2 linked regions of the Elephas maximus indicus genome follow. The protein of the gene in region 1 purifies or fractionates together with the protein of each later gene. This does not show direct contact. Links are inferred from orthologs where the notes say so. Each region holds a gene or a part of one and is shown on either strand. Other genes may lie near its edges. The genes, in order: TDRD3 and FMR1.

Region 1 (8,827 bases):
TTCTGGACATTTGGTCTCTATTCTTGGTTCTACCACTTACAACTCAAGCAAATTACTGATGTGCTGTGCTTCAGTTTCCTCATCCACACAACAAGGGAAGTAAACAAAACAATCAATAATTCTATGGAAAACGCCTTTGCAAAAATACAAACACAGCTGCTTGAGTCCCCTAACATGATTCTGTTTAAAGAAAAAAAAAAAAAAATCAAAAGCTTAAAAGCCCTGATCCCTGTTAGTAGAAATATACAATTCCCCTGAAGGGGAATGAATCTCCAAAGACAGAAAACAAAAAATATTGCAATCTAAGCAAATTTAGAGTCAAATCAATCCGTGAAGCTATTCCATGCATATAATTGAGTATTACAAACAACTAAGGTACCGTTTAGTGCATTATTTAAGCATTTCCACTATACTGTAAGAGCTCCCGAAAGTTTAAATGTTCAAATCACCAAAACCAAATGTTTTGTGTGGTACTGGCCACTAAAAAAAAAAAAAAAAAATTACTGTACAGTTTGTAGGGTGGCTGCCTTTAAAATACTGATTGTTGTAGTTTTTTTTTTTAAAGACAGAAAGCAGTACTCAAGGAATAATGTAAACCTGAATGATGCACTCATCTATATAGACCATCTGTACGTACCCCTTGAAGATCTCATTTTCAGAAACATAAGCTTTTCAGCACTAAATATTCTACTAATCTACCATTTTAGGTGAAGCTGTTGGAACAGATTTTATTATAGTTTAGGAGCGTTCACCTCTATTTCTTTACAGGTCCTACAAGTAATTGTTCTTTGTTGCTAGTTGCCATGGAGTGGATTGCAATTCACGGTGACCCCATGTGTGCAGAACACAACTGCTCTGTAGGGTTTTCAAGGCTGTGACCTTTCAGAAGCAGGTCACCAGGCCTGTCTTCCTAGGCAGCTCTCCAACCGTTCACCTAGTGACAGAGCACTTAAGCATAATTAAGTACAAAGAAAACCTGAGTCCTAAGAAAAATGGCTTTGTCAGTGACAATAATAAAAAACCCCAAAAGTAAGGGGAAACCTGAGATGTTAGACCGGAATGAGTTGGTCAAGAGCTGCTCTCCTGTCAAAAATTCTCCTTCCAGTAGTTCTCTCTGCCTAAACCCTGAGGTTCTATATTTTAACATAACAAGTCTCTACTTAAGATAAAATCTGGCACATGCCACCTGCCAGCACAGGAGATCCTCAAGTCTTTGGCACTCGTCTGCTCAAGACCCATCAGAAATTACATGAAACTCAAATTGCTAAAAAGCCCTTATTAGCCCTAGAGATTACTCCTGCCTCGGAGTCCCTGCTTGTGGAAGCAGCAGCCTGGTGGAAGAAAGAAACATGTAAACAAACGACTTAGAATGCACACTGTCAAATGCTACAATATAGCACCGCTGGCAATATAAAATATAATAAAGCAGATAACGACTCTCTTTAAACCTGGGTAAGAGGTCCTGGCTGGGGAAGTAAAAATGGCAGGGGCATTCCAAGGTCAACTATATGAGACAGCACTGAGAATCTACAATGTAACTTGATCCCTGTAACTACAGATATAAAGAAAAATGAAATACAGTTCCCTGCCCTTAAGAAGCTTAGAATCCAAAAGCAAATCTAGTCTGTACCTGAAACCCGTGTAGTGAGCCTTTCACTAGGAGGCAAGACTGAGCTTGCAAATGAAATCATATGACTAGCTTGAAGAACTAAGGATCAAAACAATGAAGAATGTGGAAAAACTAAAATAAAACAATGAGCCAAGATAATTCGAAACAGCCTAGTGAGCTAAAGAAACTGCAGGTAGAGAACAAAAAATTGAATGTGAGTTTTTAATGCTAGAATTTGTTATGCCATGATGTTCTACCCAAAAACCGCAGAGCAATAATACATAACAGTTAAAAGCAACGGGCCTGGAACCAGGACCCTGCACTCAGCACTCAACTACCAGTTTCTAGCTATGTCATTCTGGACAAGTTACTTAACATCTCTTTGCCTCAGTCTCCTCACCTGTAAAATGGAGTCAACAGCAGTGCCCGTAGATCTGGGAGCTGCTCTAATTTTGCTCTTCAAATACAGGTGTGATTATTTCACTCCACTGATGAAAAACTTTATTCACGAAATCAAGTCCACATCTTTTAGGCATTCGTAACCTCCATAATCTGGTCCCAACCTACCTTTTCTGGTCTTAATCTTTATCGGACAGTCTCCTACTGGATCTAGCTAGCATCTGTTCCACAGACCAATAAGCACTTTCCCTACCTCTGTGCCTTATCTCCTTGAACTCAGCTCTAGAAAGCCTTTTCCTCACCATCTTCCAAAACCCACTTCTCTAGGAAATTAACTCTCCCTGCCCTGTAATTCCACAGCACACTTGCCTGCTCCTCAGAACAGCTTCCAACTATTCCCCCTATTTTGGTGTTTGTCTTTTTAACGCCTCCCTCTTTCATCTTCTTATTAAGGTTGTGAACTTCCAGAGAACAGGGACAAATCTCCTTCATCCTGGTTCCTACCGCTCAGCCCCCACTGTGCCCATTCAGGCCTTGGAAAAGCGCTACTGAATTAAACCGCATGTTTACAGCGGTAATGGCCGCAGTTCCAGAAACTACTTGATTTAGCTTAATTTTCTATTGCTTTCAGATGCTAAAATCTTGACGTGAAACGTTAAAAATCAGAACAACGACGTCTTTTCAAGAAAACTTCTACGGAGCACCCATACGAGTTTACAATGCAGTTATTCTTAGCTTCAGAAGTTGTGTGTGTGCCGCGGAGGGCAGCTCCACACTGGTCTGCACAGGACTTTGAAATAAGCAGGAGAAAGGAGGTGGCTCGGGCGGCAGCACGGCGGTACCCTGGTCTCCCCAAGTTCCCGCGGGCCCGCGGCTCTGCCGCGCTGGTCCCTCTCCCCGCACGTCTCCCCTCCAGCTCTCGCCTCCCTGCTTCCCCCACAGCTACACCCCGGAGAGGCGGCGCGGCAGGTCCTCCTGGCGGCTGGCTCGGCCCTGGGTCGCCGCCCTGCCTGGCCGCGACCCCCGGCCTCCAGCCCGGCCCGTCGCCCGCCGCCCGGGGCCCAGGCCGCCGCCACCGCGGCCCGGAGGGGAACCAGGGTACTCGCCCGGCTCCGCGTGGCGCCGGGGGCGGAGCCGGCCCCAGTGCCCAGGGACAGGCCGGGGGCGGGCGGCGGCCTCCGCCTACCCCGACACGCACCCACCGCCCCCAACCCCAACCCTCCTCGGGGCCCCGGCCCGGGACCGCGGCCTGGCGGCCGGCGGGACTCGCCACTTACCAACCCGCCTGGGACAACGCCGCGCCGGGAACCTCGGCCATGGTAGCTGCTTAGGCCAGGGGTGGTGGGGGGCTGGGTTGGGGGGGGTGCGGGGTGGGGGGAGGGGGCTCCTGCTTGAGACCAAAAATAAAAAAAAAAAAAAAAAGGGAAAGAAAAAAAAAAAAAACTCCTCTGGTCGGCTCTGCAACTGGGCATGCTCAGTGCGGCCGGCGCTTCCGCGTGCGGGTTCCGCTCGCCGCGTTTTCTCAGCGGCCGCAGGGGCGGGTCTGCAGTGGGGCCGGGGAGGCTGCTGGGCGCCTGAGGCTGGGAACGCCTGAAAAAGTGCTGGGAGCGCGGCTCCGAGGCCAGTTTGCCACCCACCAAGGACCGTGGAAGGTTTTGCCCCTCTATCGGAGGCTGGTTTTCTTTACCACTCTTCTGAGTTGCACGCCTTGGAAACTACTGAGGTTCTCTTTGTACAGCGGAAAGTAACATTGATGTTTCCAGCGCCGACAGAGAGTCCCCTCCGGGAGGGCAGGATAACGCTGGAATTGAAAGGAACAGGTCGGTGCGGGGGCAGCGCTGCCACTACCGGGCTAGTAAGGTCGCGTTTCCCACAGTAAAACTCATAGGAAAGGTGTTCCCAGCCTACTCCGCATAGGAGAAAAGTTTAAAGACTCGATTCACTCCGCTTTTCGTCCTGCTGGACGCATAGGAAATAATGCCAGCTCGGGGTTTTTCGATTCTCCACGAGCAGGTCAGGGGGTCCAGGCCGGACACCACAATGAAACTGGTCACCCCCAAGGAAACATGTACGTAGGGGACAGGGGAAATTTGGCAGCTGTGTCAGTGTTTGTCTTTCCTGTCGCACTCTCACGGGGACCGTCCTCATCCCAGCGCGGCCCCACGACCGTGGCACGGACATCGTCAATTCCGACTCCCACCCCGCTTCGCCCGTGCCCTTCTTGGGCGCTCAGACGGGCGAAAGCGCAGGAGCGGGTCCCCGAGCGAGCATGCGCGACGGCTGCGCCGAGCAGCGCGAGGACGCTTCTGCGCGATTGGGCAGCCGCGACGCACGCCAGCCAATCAGGGAAGGCGATAGGGGCCGCGGGCCCGCTCGCCTAAAAGTTTGCCCCACCCTCGCGGTCTGTCACTGCTGCAGCGCCTCAGGGAAAAAAGGCGCTTTTTAATGGCGCTGTCCCCATTAAAATGCCAAGTCCTGGAGAGAGACTGTTAGGAACTTAAACTTTATCTCCGCCCCGCGCCACTGCTGCGTCATTAGAGGCTGCCTCATTTGAAGCCATCATCACAAACTTGGACAGAGACTGCGGAACTGGGCAGAGCCTCTCCCTGGAGCTGGGGAGGAAAATGGCTGTTACAGAAGGAGGGGGATGATGGCGAGGGTGGAGCGAAAACTGCATAATTCAAATTTTTCTCGTTTTAACTGAGCTATTCCTTTCGGTTTTATTCCTTTTGAAAGGAGCCCTAGTGGTGCAATGGTTAAAGCGCGCGGCTGCTAACCCAAAGGTCAGCGGTAGGAACCACCAGCCAGGGGGAGAAAAATGTGGCAGTTTACAGCCCTGAAATCCCTGTAAGGCGGTTCTGCTCTGTCTTTAGGGTCACGATGAGTCAGAATTGACTGGATGGCAGTGGGTTTGGTTTTTGGTTTATATCTGTTGGGCTTCTCCAAAAATCGTAGTTCTAAAAACACGATATCTTGCGTAGATCTAATGCTAATAAATGTTTCCAAACATTGCTTAGATACTAATTTTAAGGAAACGTGTTTGTCAGCACGTTTAGAATCAAATAACTCCATTCTCTTCTCTACAACTCGCAGTAGTTTAAAGTGTTTATATTATGCATTTGCTATAAGTATAATTTTTTTATAAGTATATTTCAATTTCTGGGCACTAGTCATATCCAGGAGCAAGATTTGCCATTTTGAAACGTGAGTTTGTTGTTTGTTAGTTACTGTTAAGTGGATTCCGACTCATGGCGACACCATGTGTGCAGAGTAGAACTGCTCCTTGGGATTTTTAAGGCTGTGATCTTTCAGAAGCAGATCACCATCTTCTGGGGCACTTCTGGTGGGTTCAAACAGCCAGCGTTTTGGCTACTAGTTGCCTGCTTAACCGTTTGTGCCCCCCAGGAACTCCTTTAAAGGTAAATGAGTCAAATTGCTGGTTACTTTTTATTGTTGGTCAGAGAGAATCTCCTCTTAACAATTATTTACATTTTGCAATTAGTGTAACTTGTTATCTGTGAAAATATGTTGTTCCAGTCAGCAGAATTACTCAGTGGTTAAATGTGAAGCTTTTACACATTTGCTCTCCTGTGCAATATAATACGATAGAAATTTACCATCTTTACATGGTGTTTATAATAATTTTAACAAAATGCTCCTCAAAATACTAACTTCCCTTACTTAAAGAAATGCTTTAAAGGATGGGTCGAGTGCTCCCACCTGCGAAATTTGGGACGGTATGGTAATTAAAAAAGAATAGTTAGAAGATTTGATTGTAACACATTGAATTTAAAAAAATGCATACGTTCACAACGCAACTGGAATAAATAAAAGCGAGGAAGGAATGAAAGTGTTTGTTTACAGAAGAATACCAACTAATGTTTTACATTCCAGATATAATATATTCAAGCAAAGTTCATCAATGGAGGCTAAGAGCCACTGGGTGAAAGATTGTAGGAATACCAGATCTTCACATGGTCTCAAAGTATCAAGCCATAAATTACTTATTACAAAAGGGAAAATGTACCTTTAAAAAAACCCTATCTGAAACAAGTGACCAAAGTTAGCATCACTAATACTGGAAAAATCTTATGTGCTTCCTCATGTAATGAATTAGAAGACCATAACATCTAAGAGATACTCTTGCCAAAATGATTTAGCCTGAATTTAAGCAAGCTTCTTTTAAACATCAGTTCTCAATCAGAGGTCCCATTCTGCCCCCTCTCCGCAGGGGGCATTTGGAGACATTTTTGATTGCCAGAACCTGAGGATGGGGAAGACGGGGGCAACTGGCATCCAGTGGTTAGAGACTAGGGATATTGCTAAATATCCAACAATGCACAAAAGCCCCCACCCGCAACATCCAACAAAGAATTTTCTGGCCCAAAATGTCAGTAATGCCAAGGTCAACCTCTAGATCTAAACCCTGCTCTAGACCCAAACACAAATTTAGGGGACATATAAAGGATATTGGAAGGAATTACACATGGAGAGACGTAAATCCCAAACGTGCCATGTTCTGCAAGAAACGTGGCCTGGACTCTTCAAAAGAGCCACTGTAATTAAAAAACAAAATGCAATAAGCTAGCCTTTATTGGATACTGGTCTAAGAAAAAATATATATATATAAAAAGGTATTTTGGGACCAATTAGAGAAATTTAAAGATAGAGTGGATACTAATTAGTATAATAATGGTTTTCTCAGATGTGATAATAGTATTGTCTTTAATCTTGGGAATTTATGCCAAAGCATTCACGGCTGAAGAGTTGTAGTGTGTACAACTTGTTTTCAAATGATTCAGCAAAAAATAATATATGTATAATATATAAAATATATACATATACAGTATATGTATAACATTTAAAATATATAAAATAATACGTATAATACATAAAATATGAAACAATATGTATAATATCTATAACAAAATAAGAGAGAAAGAAGGTAAACATGGCAAAATATTAACAATGGGTAAATGTAATTTAACGGCCCGGGTACCTACTGTATTTTTTTTTTTTAACTTTTCTATGGGTTTAATTTTTTCAGACTAGAAAGAAAAAATATAGATTATACTCACTTCCTTCACACCTAAATTTTTAAATTGAAGTTATGTTCTATAGATAGGGAACCCCTGGTGGTACAGTGGTTAAGCACTTGGCTGCTAACCAAAAGGTCAGCAGTTTGAACCCACCAGCTGCTCCTCGGGAGGAAGATGTGACAGTCTGTGTCCTTTAAGATTTACAGCATAGGAAACCCTATGGCGCAATTCCACCCTGTCGTATAGGTTTGCTATGACTTGGAATCGACTCAGCGGCAATGGATTTGGTTTGGTTTTTCTGTAGATAAGTTATTGCCAGGAAGTATGATTATAGCTGGCTAGACAGAAAAAAAAAATGGTTTTCCATTTTTAGTAAGATCACTAATTCACATATAATGGAAAGTCCACAATGAGCTGAAAGTTGGAAGAAATCCTAAGGATGACAAAAACTTTGTTAGGTATAAGCAGACAAAAAGGAGTTAAATCTGTTCAGTGAATTATGTAAAATAACAGAAAAAAAGATAGATTGAGAATCCATTCACCCTCTGTTTTACCTCTGTCGTATCAATGAAGGAAAATGTTCTCAGACTGAAAAGGAAAGAATGTGGATAAGTAGGAAAAGATACCAGAATAAAAAATGAGATTATAAATGCGCCTAGCCCCTCTGATGTACTTGAAATCTTTTGACCCTAAACCAGTTACGTCATGTTGTATGCCACCAAGTTAATTCGGACTCACAGTGACCATGTATGACCCCATGGGGTTTCCAAGACTGTAATTTTTATGGGAGCAGGACGCCAGGTCTTTTCTCTCACAGAGCCATTGGTGGATTCAAACTGCCAACCTTTCGGTTAGCAGCTGAGCATTTAACCATTGCACCACCAGGGCTCCTTAGTTACATCATAGGGAATACTGCAATAACCTGTGATGGACTTAGATGAACCACTTCCCAGGAGCCTTGAAAAACTGCTAAGTTCTTCAGGAAATGTGCTAGAAGTCTGAAAACTGGCAAAAAAAAAAAAAAAATCAGTTTTAAAAAAGAATCTTTTCAATGAATGATGGAAACATCTCAGTCTCTATTCAAAAGAATAACTTTGAACTCCTTCTTCATATGAAAAATTAACCCAAAATGGATCACATACCTAAATAAAAAAGCTAGAAGGAATTACAGGAGTATATCTTCATGACCATGGGTTAGACCATAGATATAACGCATACACACACAAAATTCATTGCTGTCAAGTCGATTGATGGCAACCCAATGTATTTCAGAGTGGAGCTGCACTCCGGAGGGTTTCCAATGGCTGTGATCTTTTGGAAGTAGATCTCCAAGCCTTTCTTCTGAGGTGCCTCTGGGTGGATTCCAACCACCCTTTTGGTTAGTACCCATGCGCTTAACCATTTACACTACGCAGGGACTCTGTAACATCCAAAGCATTAAGAAAAAAAATAGATAAATTGGAATTTATCAAAATTTAAAATTTCTGTGCTTCAGAGGATACCATCAAGAAAGTGAAAAGTCAATCCATAGAATGGGAGAGAAAAGGATCTTGTATCCAGAACATACGGAGAACTCTTATAATTCAATAAGAAGAAGTCAGATAACCCAAAGATACAATTTCACAACCACTAGGATGGCAACACAATAGCAAGTGTTGGTGAAGATGTGGAGAAATTGGAATTGTTGGGAGAATGTAAAATAGTGCAGCCACCATGAAAACAACTTGGCCAAGCCTCAAAAGGTTAAATGTAGAGTTTCCATATGACCCAGCAACTCCGC
Region 2 (8,409 bases), on another chromosome or scaffold:
AATACTAAAAAGATTACTTAGGCTCTGAGAAGGAAAAAAAAATGCAGTTGACTGAGTAAGTGACTTCCTTGAAGTACAGAATAACACCTATATGCAAAGTCAGCTCTGGAGACTTCAGAGAAAACGCGAGTAGTCCCTTATGCGTGTTTATTTATAGTAAAACAGTGACTTCTAGTAGGCTATGTAGCTAAAATGACATTTTAGACCACTAATGTCTTATTTTAAAATTTTTTCGGTTGTTCATTTTATCATATTTAGCTGCTAGCTACTGTAATAATACTTACCAAATGAAAAGTCTCTCTCCTCAGATAACAAACGTAAAAATATAAGATATATTAAAGTGTTAATATAACCATAAAAACACAAGCAAGTATAATTTCACCAGATTACAAGGAATTAGGTTAACAGTCACTACATTTGCAGAAAACTAAAAGGTTTTGCATCTTTGTTTCCAAGACACAATTTCTCCATCTTTAGTAATTTTCATACTAGTACACACACGTAGGAATCTGAAGATATGTCAGTGCATTCCTACTGGAGTGAAGCACATTCTACCTCTAAAATGGAGCTAATTCATTACCATTCTCAACACATCGAAACACTCAGTCCAAAGAAAACTACACTATTTTGGGCAGATGTCCCTAGAATAAAGACCTTATTTCAACATTATTCATTTAGAAAATGCTTTATAAAGATTTTGTGAGTTATAATTCAAAGTGTTTCACGTCTTAAAATAACGCAAGGTTCTATAAGTGGTACATGTAACTGACTCAATGTGAAAGAAATATCTAAGCAATAAAAACAGTGGCTCTGATAATTACTAATCTAACTTTCAAATTTTTAAGAATAAACATGAGAGGAAAAGTAGAAGTGAACTATTGCAATCTTAGGGTTTAGGGTTCATGGTTAATTCTAAATCCTGAGCTTCAGCTATGTTCTAGAGAAAGAATAAAACTGTTACCAGCATATACTCAGTACTGAGTTTTTATTTGCAAACTTGGAGCATGTGCTCAGAAGATGGAGAACTGTACTTTGCAATATGGTGGCTCTGTTAGGCAAATCAAAGTCTGTGTTCAATTATAAAGAAGTTATTTCATTTGTTTAGTTTTTTTTTTTTATCAATTCAATGAACAAGGTTCCTTTTTTTTAATAAATGCAACATATTTCTCTACAGCAGTTCATTTTTGATTGGTCTTATTTCCTATTTTTCATGTCCATCCCACCAGACATTAACGACAAGCAATTCAGTTTACTTTGTTGCTCTTTTATAACTCACAGCAATATTATGAGCTAAATAAACAGCTAAACTTTTTTCATTACAGAAACTCTTTTTTCACCAATACAGATCAGTTGAGATTTTCTTAAAAAGAAACCTTAATTAAATAAACATAACAGCAACTTCTCTTCTCCTCTCAAAGAGCTAAGGAACAATTGGTTCTTTTTTTTTTTTTTAAGTCACCTTCAAATTAAGCCACTTGGTTAAAAAACAAAAACAAAAAGGGAGCTTAATGGCAATGATAGGGGGCATTTCTTATATTCCTATCGGTTTGCAAGCAAAATCACTGGAGCAAATCATGTGTTGCTGGAAAAGAACAATAAATCCTTCAAGACCAGGATGTGCTACTTGCCCTCTATGGCAAGCAAACTCTCCTAAAAGACATAAGGGTGGTGTCCAATATAAGCTGATATTATAAAAAAAAAAAAAATCAGTTAAAATACTGCTCAACCATTAGTACCTGGTCATGTATACTATAGTTAGATCCACAAAAATAGTGACTAAAACTACAAATCTAAGAACCAGAACTATTCTACACAAACCATTAGAAATTATGAATTGCTGAAATAAATGCATCCACAATTTTGACTGCAGAATCAACTGTTAACAATTTTATATTGGTGAGACGGTGAAGAATAAAAAATGCTGAGTTAATTTTCACTTCCTTGTACAGCAAAAGGTTTTATCATTCTTAGTGGAACAATTTACATTCTTTAGTCTTTTATGAAACATACTCATCCCCAAATGTTGCGATAAAATTGGTAAGCTTATAGTCTGTTAAGTAGTTGAGTCAATGATTGCTTTTCTTATAGCCAAACATGTCCCTTTGAAACGTTAGTTACTCCGTAATACTTTAACAATTGTGTTGGACAATGGCCATAGCTATTTTCCATGCTTCCTTCCATGTGCACCTTCTGTTGACAAAATACTCTAGTAAGGTGGGATCTTACTTACAGAAGTTATACAGACATTGAAGAGGAAACAAAAATTCATAGATTACTGTAGTAAATATGAACTAACAAACCCCCTACTGATCCACCAAAACATTGCTTTTAATTCTGTTTTTCTCAAATGTAAGATATTTGTTGATGTGCAATGATGTAACTTCAAAAATAAAAACCCACAGTAGGACTATTAATGCCTATTCAAAACCCCTACAACACAGTCCTCTGCAACATTACACATCCAAAGAGAAGAGAGGCAAATACCTATACTTAGAGCACAAAGCAAACATTTCCAAACACTCCGTTCTTAAAATTCCTCAGTAATAAGACAGTCCCAATTAATTTTCTCAAGTTTCATGAGGCATATATTCAGGTCTTTGGGGAGTTTAAAAAAAACGAAAAAAAATTTTAAAGTGAGTAGTAGAGTTGCTAATGTTTTTTAGATGCTGTATTCCAGAATTTACCCACGTTAAAAAAAGGGAGGGGGGCCGAAGGAGAAGAATTACCAACTTCTTTAATGCACCGATTGCCCAGATATGTTAGGCTCTTTCTGGAACTTTGGAGGCTCTTGTAAAAATGCACAAAGAGAGAGAGCAGTAAACCCAGTTACCACCGTGATTTGGGACTGACGACCACTTCTTACTACTCTGTCTTCACACCTCGCCCAGAACAGCGGCGCTCTTCGAAGTCCCAATCCTGGACCAGAAGGCGACGCCAAAGGGGACCTGAAAACCTCTGGGCCGGACAGGCGGCGGCCCGCCGAAGGCGCCCCCCGCTCCTCCGCAGCTCCCCCACGTCAGGCCGGAGCCCACGGGCGGGGAGCTGGGCGACGGAGCAAGGGGACGGAGGAAGCGGCTGTCGCCGTCCCCGCGCGCCGATTCCGGCCCTTCCCGCCTGGCTCTACCTGCCGCCGCCCTCGCCCATCCCCAGCCTGCCGCGCCGGGGCTTGGCCGGGGTGGGCGCCCCTTCTCCTCGCCCGTGTCTCCTCCCCACGGGCGCCGGGGGCTCTCGAAGGCTCGGGGGGCTTCCCGAAGGCCCGGCGCCCGTCCTTCCCCACACCTCCAGCCGAGCGCGCCGGCCCGGCCCCAGGCCTGCCTCCCGCCGAGGCCGCGAAGAAAAGCGAGGGAAGGAAGGGAAGAGATGGGGCCTGCCCAGAGCCGAGTACCTTGTAGAAAGCGCCATTGGAGCCTCGCACCTCCACCACCAGCTCCTCCATCTTCTCGTCGCCCCTGCTCGCGCCGGGAGCCCGCCCCCGGGAGGTGGGCTGCAGGCGCTCGAGGCCCAGCCGCCGCCGCCGCCGCCGCGCTCCCGCACGCCCCCCGGCAGCGGCGCCGCCGTCACCGCCACCGCCTGCGCTCGCCGTCGGCTCGCTGCCCGCTCCAAGGCGGCCCCTCACCGGAAGTGAAACCGAAACGGAGCGGAGCGCCTGACTGAGGCCGAACGCTGAACGCCGGGCCGCTCCGCGTGTAAACACTGAAGCCGCGTCACGTGACCCGCGCCGCCCCTCCCCCCGCCGGCTCGGCCCCTCGGCCCCGCCCTTCCCTTCCCCGCGGCCTCTGGAGCGCGCGCATGCGCGCTGTGGGGAACCGGCTGGGGCGCCAGGCCCGACGACGGGCGCGCGGGCTCGGCGTGTGCGGGGGATGGCCCAGCGCGGGAAGGCGGGAAGGGCAGTGACGGGTCGCGTCGCTTCGCAAAGCCCAGCGATGACCAGGGAGCCTGTCACTGGAGAGGGTGAGAGGAGGCGTGGGAAAGGGCCTCCCGTAGCGATCGCCTGCATTCAGTCATCTGAGGCCAGGCTGCTCAGGGTGGGAGGTGGTGGTTTATTTTTTTTGTTGTTGTTGTTTTTTTAAAGCGGAGCAAAGGCTTATTGAGCTGGAGGTGGAGTGGGAGACAAGGATAAAGGTGAATTAGATTGGAGGAGACTTTAGTAACAGTAACAACCAGTTCATCCAGGCTAATGTGACCCTTAGAGGCAGACAGGGAGAAGAGCGCCCACCCACACCATGACATTCTAGGCAGAGTAGGAGATACATCCCAAGTCCCTTGAGGGGCAATGGATTGTGTTGGCATCTCTGGAAATTTTAGCTTTCCCTCAGACCCGAGACTAACCCACATGTTCCCTTTCGGTCAATTCAGTTTCATACTTTTACTTGACATAAGTATAAAAAAAAGTTAAGCACTTGTTCATTTCTCTACAGCTCATATCTGCCCCTACTGTGTGCCACCCTGTACCAAGAGGGTAGGTGGGCATGTGCGTAGCAGACAGGCGATCTGCCTACAGGGGCCTTGCACGACCCATTTCCTTGCAACTCACTTTACTCTCTATGGTAAACAAAACCCAAATCTTTCTCATCTCTGCCTCTGCACCATGCTGTATCCTCCTGGGCCTGTGTTCCCCTTGTCTGGGGTGCTTGTATTCAACTGAAAAGTTTATTGAGTGCCTACCATGTGCCAAAGCTCGTAGCGACCGTCTAAGACAGAGTAGAACTGCCCCATAGAGTTTCCAAGGTGGGTTGGCGGATTTGAACTGATGACCTTTTGATTAGCAGCCCAACTGCACCTATAGGGTCGCTATGAGTCGGAATCAACTCTACCTCAACGGGTTTGATTTTTTGTTTACCATGTGCCAAGGAAGCTCTGGTGGTTGAATGTTAAGCACTAGGGCTACCCAAAAGGTCGGCAGCTCAAACCCACTTGGTGGATCGGCTCTTCAGGAGAAAGAACTGATGATCTGTTCCCGTAAAGATTATAGTCAAAACCCTGTGGGACAGGTCTGCTTGGTCACATGGGGTGCTATAAGTCGAAATTGACTGGAGGGCACCTAACAACAATAACTCATGTGCTGGCAATACATGAGTGAGCAAAAACAAACAAAAGCAAAACGGCCAACATCGAACTTGAAACCTACAGTCCTAAAAACCAAAAACCAAACCAGTTACCATTGAGTTGACTCCAACTCATGGCAGCCCCATGTTTTGCAGAGTAGAACTGTTCTATAGAGTTTTCAAGGCTGTGATCTTTTGGAAGCAAGTTTCCAGGCCTTCCATGGGAAGCCCTGGTAGTACAGTAGTTAAGAGCTTGGCTGCTAACCAAAAGGTCGGCAGTTGGAATCCACCAGCCGCTCCTTGGAAACCCCATAGTAGTTCTACTCTGTCCTACAGGGTTGCTATGAGTCAGAATCGACTTGACAGCAGTGGGTTTTGGTTTGGGTTCTTCCATGGCACCTCTGGATGGGTTTGAACCACCAACCTTTTGGTTATCAGTCAAGCACATTACCGTTGATGGGCATAAATTATCGGAAAAGTAAATGTAGAGTTGCAGCTGTGATAAGGGCTATGAAGAATAACCAAACCAAAAAAGCCAAACCCATTGCCATCAAATAAGTGCACCTATAATAATGATGAGACATGACCTAGTGTGGGGAGAGGAAGGTGTGTTTGGCGAAGGGGAAATGACTCAAGCTGGAATGTGAGGGGCCAGAGTTAACTGACAGATGGGCAGCACTGAGTTGGGGGAAGTAGCATGAACTGCCCCAGACAGATGCCCCAGAATGAGAGGCATCATTGAGGCCCCGTTCCCTTCCCACCCCACCCCCAGCCAGAGCAGCAGCATCAGAGCTGGTGCAGTCCTAGCTCTAAGGCAGCAGCTCAGAGGCCACACTCCTTGAGGCCATAGTAAACCGGAATGACCCCTTGGACTAGAAGAGTCTCTGGAGGAGTCACAAGATGGGAAGACTCCAATAGAGATTCTCGCCATAGGCTGGACTGGATCAGAGTAGATTAGAATAATTATACCTTCCATGTGTAGAGTGTTGCTCAAGTTACCCAGTGCTTTCAAGATATCAGCCCTCCACAACCACCTTTACTGCTCGAGCCACATGCTTCCTGTCCCCCAGCAATACTTACCCTTAGCACTATCCCTTAGCACTGTTAGCTGGATTTCTGTGAGCTAGTTATTTTACCTCAGGTGCAGAGAGTGAAGTTGCTTTGCACCTCAATTCTCAGCACATTGTCATCATGAGTCCCTTCAAGGCCCTTCTCATGTTTAAGGTATTTTATAGTGTTTATATTATTTATATTACTTTTTCTCATCTCCCTCAATCCCCACTCTCATTCTTCTAGGCACCCATTGCAATTTGTTTGCTATGATACTTGATAATTTAAGATGCGCAGTATTTTCTGTATGCCTTTACACTTACAGAAATGTTATTGGACTGTAAATCTCTGGTTCCCACTTTTCTCACTCAACACTATGTTTTTGAGCTGTCTCCACATTGCTGGGTGTACCCCTAGGTTGTTGCTTCTACCTGCTGCTGAGTATTCCATAGATTTTACTTACACATTTCCCTGGTGACGGGCATTTAGGTTGCTGCCAACTCCCCAGTGCCACACTGTGATGAACTCTTGTGAATACCTTCACAAATCTTTGGAGGCAGTTTCTTGTGTACTCTTGTAGAACTTTGTACAAACTGCCTGCTTCCTCTTCACACTGCTTGGCATAGAGCAGGGACTCAGGAAATGTTGAATAGCTCAACTGTGATGGTGAAATGTACTGGAATTGCTTATTTATATTTCTGTTTCTCTCAATGGACTGTGAGTTTCTTCAGGACAGGAAAGATGTCTTATTTATCTTTGTGTCTCTGGCACATTAAAAGTGGTTGGTTCCAATAAATATTCAATGAATGAGTGAATGCTTATACCTAAATGTACTGTGACTTAGCCTTGCCCACTTGCCTCTGTGTCTCAGCCTCACTCTGATCTCTAACTCTTGAAATTTCCCCTTTCAGGATAAAAACCAGTTTCTTTCAAGATAGCCCAAGTGAATTCAGCCCTGCCTCAGAGTCTGCTCCTCCCATATTCTCCCCTTACACAGTTAATGGCAACCCCCTCCTTCCAGTGAGTAGCTCAGGCTTAAAAAGGAGTCCTTTTGGACTCTTTCTCACACTCTGCAGCTACAAATCCATCAGCAAATCTTTTCAGAGTCCAGAACCTACTTCCTACCACTTGTGCTGCTAAAACCCTGGTCCGAGCCCCATCTCTCTCACCTGGGTTACTGCAATAACCTCCTCACTGGTCTCCCTGCAGCTCCTCTTGTCCTCGTCTCTCTATTCTCAACACAGAAGACAGAGTGACCCTGTCCAAGTGTCCATCAAGTCACTCTGGCACTCAAAGCCCTCCAGTGATCCCTAAATGGCTCAGAGTAAAAGGCAAAAAACCCTCCAATGATCCCTAAATCTCTCAGAGTAAAAGGCAAAGTTCTTATTTACTCTGGCCTCTGTTCTCTACATCTTCTGACCTCTGTTATTTCCTCTATGGCACCCTCTACCCTTCCATTCCATACCCCCCCCCATTCCAGCTGTTTCTTGAATACACCAAGTAGGCCCTGTCTGTCTCCCCTCACTAGAATGTAAGCTCCGTTAAAACAGTGTTTTCTTCACTGCTGCATCCCCAGTGCCTAGTATGGTGTCTGGAACAGTAGTAGTGCATATTAGATATTTACTGAGTGCATGAATGAATGAATGAGTGTTGCAGACCGGTTTGGGCCGGGTCGGCTCCCATGGCTATATTTATTCAATACTGGAATGATGCTTCAGCTTTTCTGGCTCTGCCTCAGCCCCTAGCTTTCATGAAATTGCTGCTAGTTGTCTTTGCATTGATTTATTCTGTTTTATTTCCTGCTTCTTCGCAATTCAAGCCATGGAGTCTTTGTTCCTGCTGTAATCCCAGAGGGAAATGCCCTCTGCCCTTTCCAACTCTAGAAGGACTATGTACCCTTCAGGGCCCTTCGAAAGTCTCACCTCTTTACTGACACTGTTCTGACAATTTTGCCTCATCTTCACCTCTCCTTTGAACTAGATATTAGGAAAAAATATTCATTAATAGATTTATTTTTAGAACAGTTTTAGATTTAGAGAAAAATTGAGCAGATGGTACAGAGAATTCCCATATACTCCCACACCCCCCCCCACACACCCACAGTTTCCCGTTATTAACATCTTGCATTCCTGTGGCACGTTCGTTATTATTGCTAAACTGATATTGATATATGATTGCTAAAGTCCATAGTTTACATGAGGGCTCACGCTTTGTGTTGTACAGTTTTAAGAGTTTTGAAAAATGCATAATGTCATGTATCTAGTATCATACAGAACACTTTCACTGCCCTGAAAGTCCTGTGTGCTTCACCTAT

The links.
Region 2: the proteins of TDRD3 (region 1) and FMR1 purify together in Homo sapiens (affinity purification with mass spectrometry; 4 studies listed by BioGRID and IntAct, with this or other methods). This does not show direct contact. The link is inferred for Elephas maximus indicus from reciprocal best matches to the Homo sapiens genes TDRD3 and FMR1.

What each region holds. Positions count from the first base shown.
Region 1 is NC_064832.1:49,987,618-49,996,444, reverse strand, and holds the start of TDRD3 (tudor domain-containing protein 3), read right to left. Parts: upstream 3,363-8,827; 5' UTR 3,327-3,362; coding exon 3,286-3,326; intron 1-3,285. UniProt on the Homo sapiens protein: Scaffolding protein that specifically recognizes and binds dimethylarginine-containing proteins. Plays a role in the regulation of translation of target mRNAs by binding Arg/Gly-rich motifs (GAR) in dimethylarginine-containing proteins.
Region 2 is NC_064846.1:8,486,539-8,494,947, forward strand, and holds the start of FMR1 (fragile X messenger ribonucleoprotein 1), read right to left. Parts: upstream 3,687-8,409; 5' UTR 3,437-3,686; coding exon 3,386-3,436; intron 1-3,385.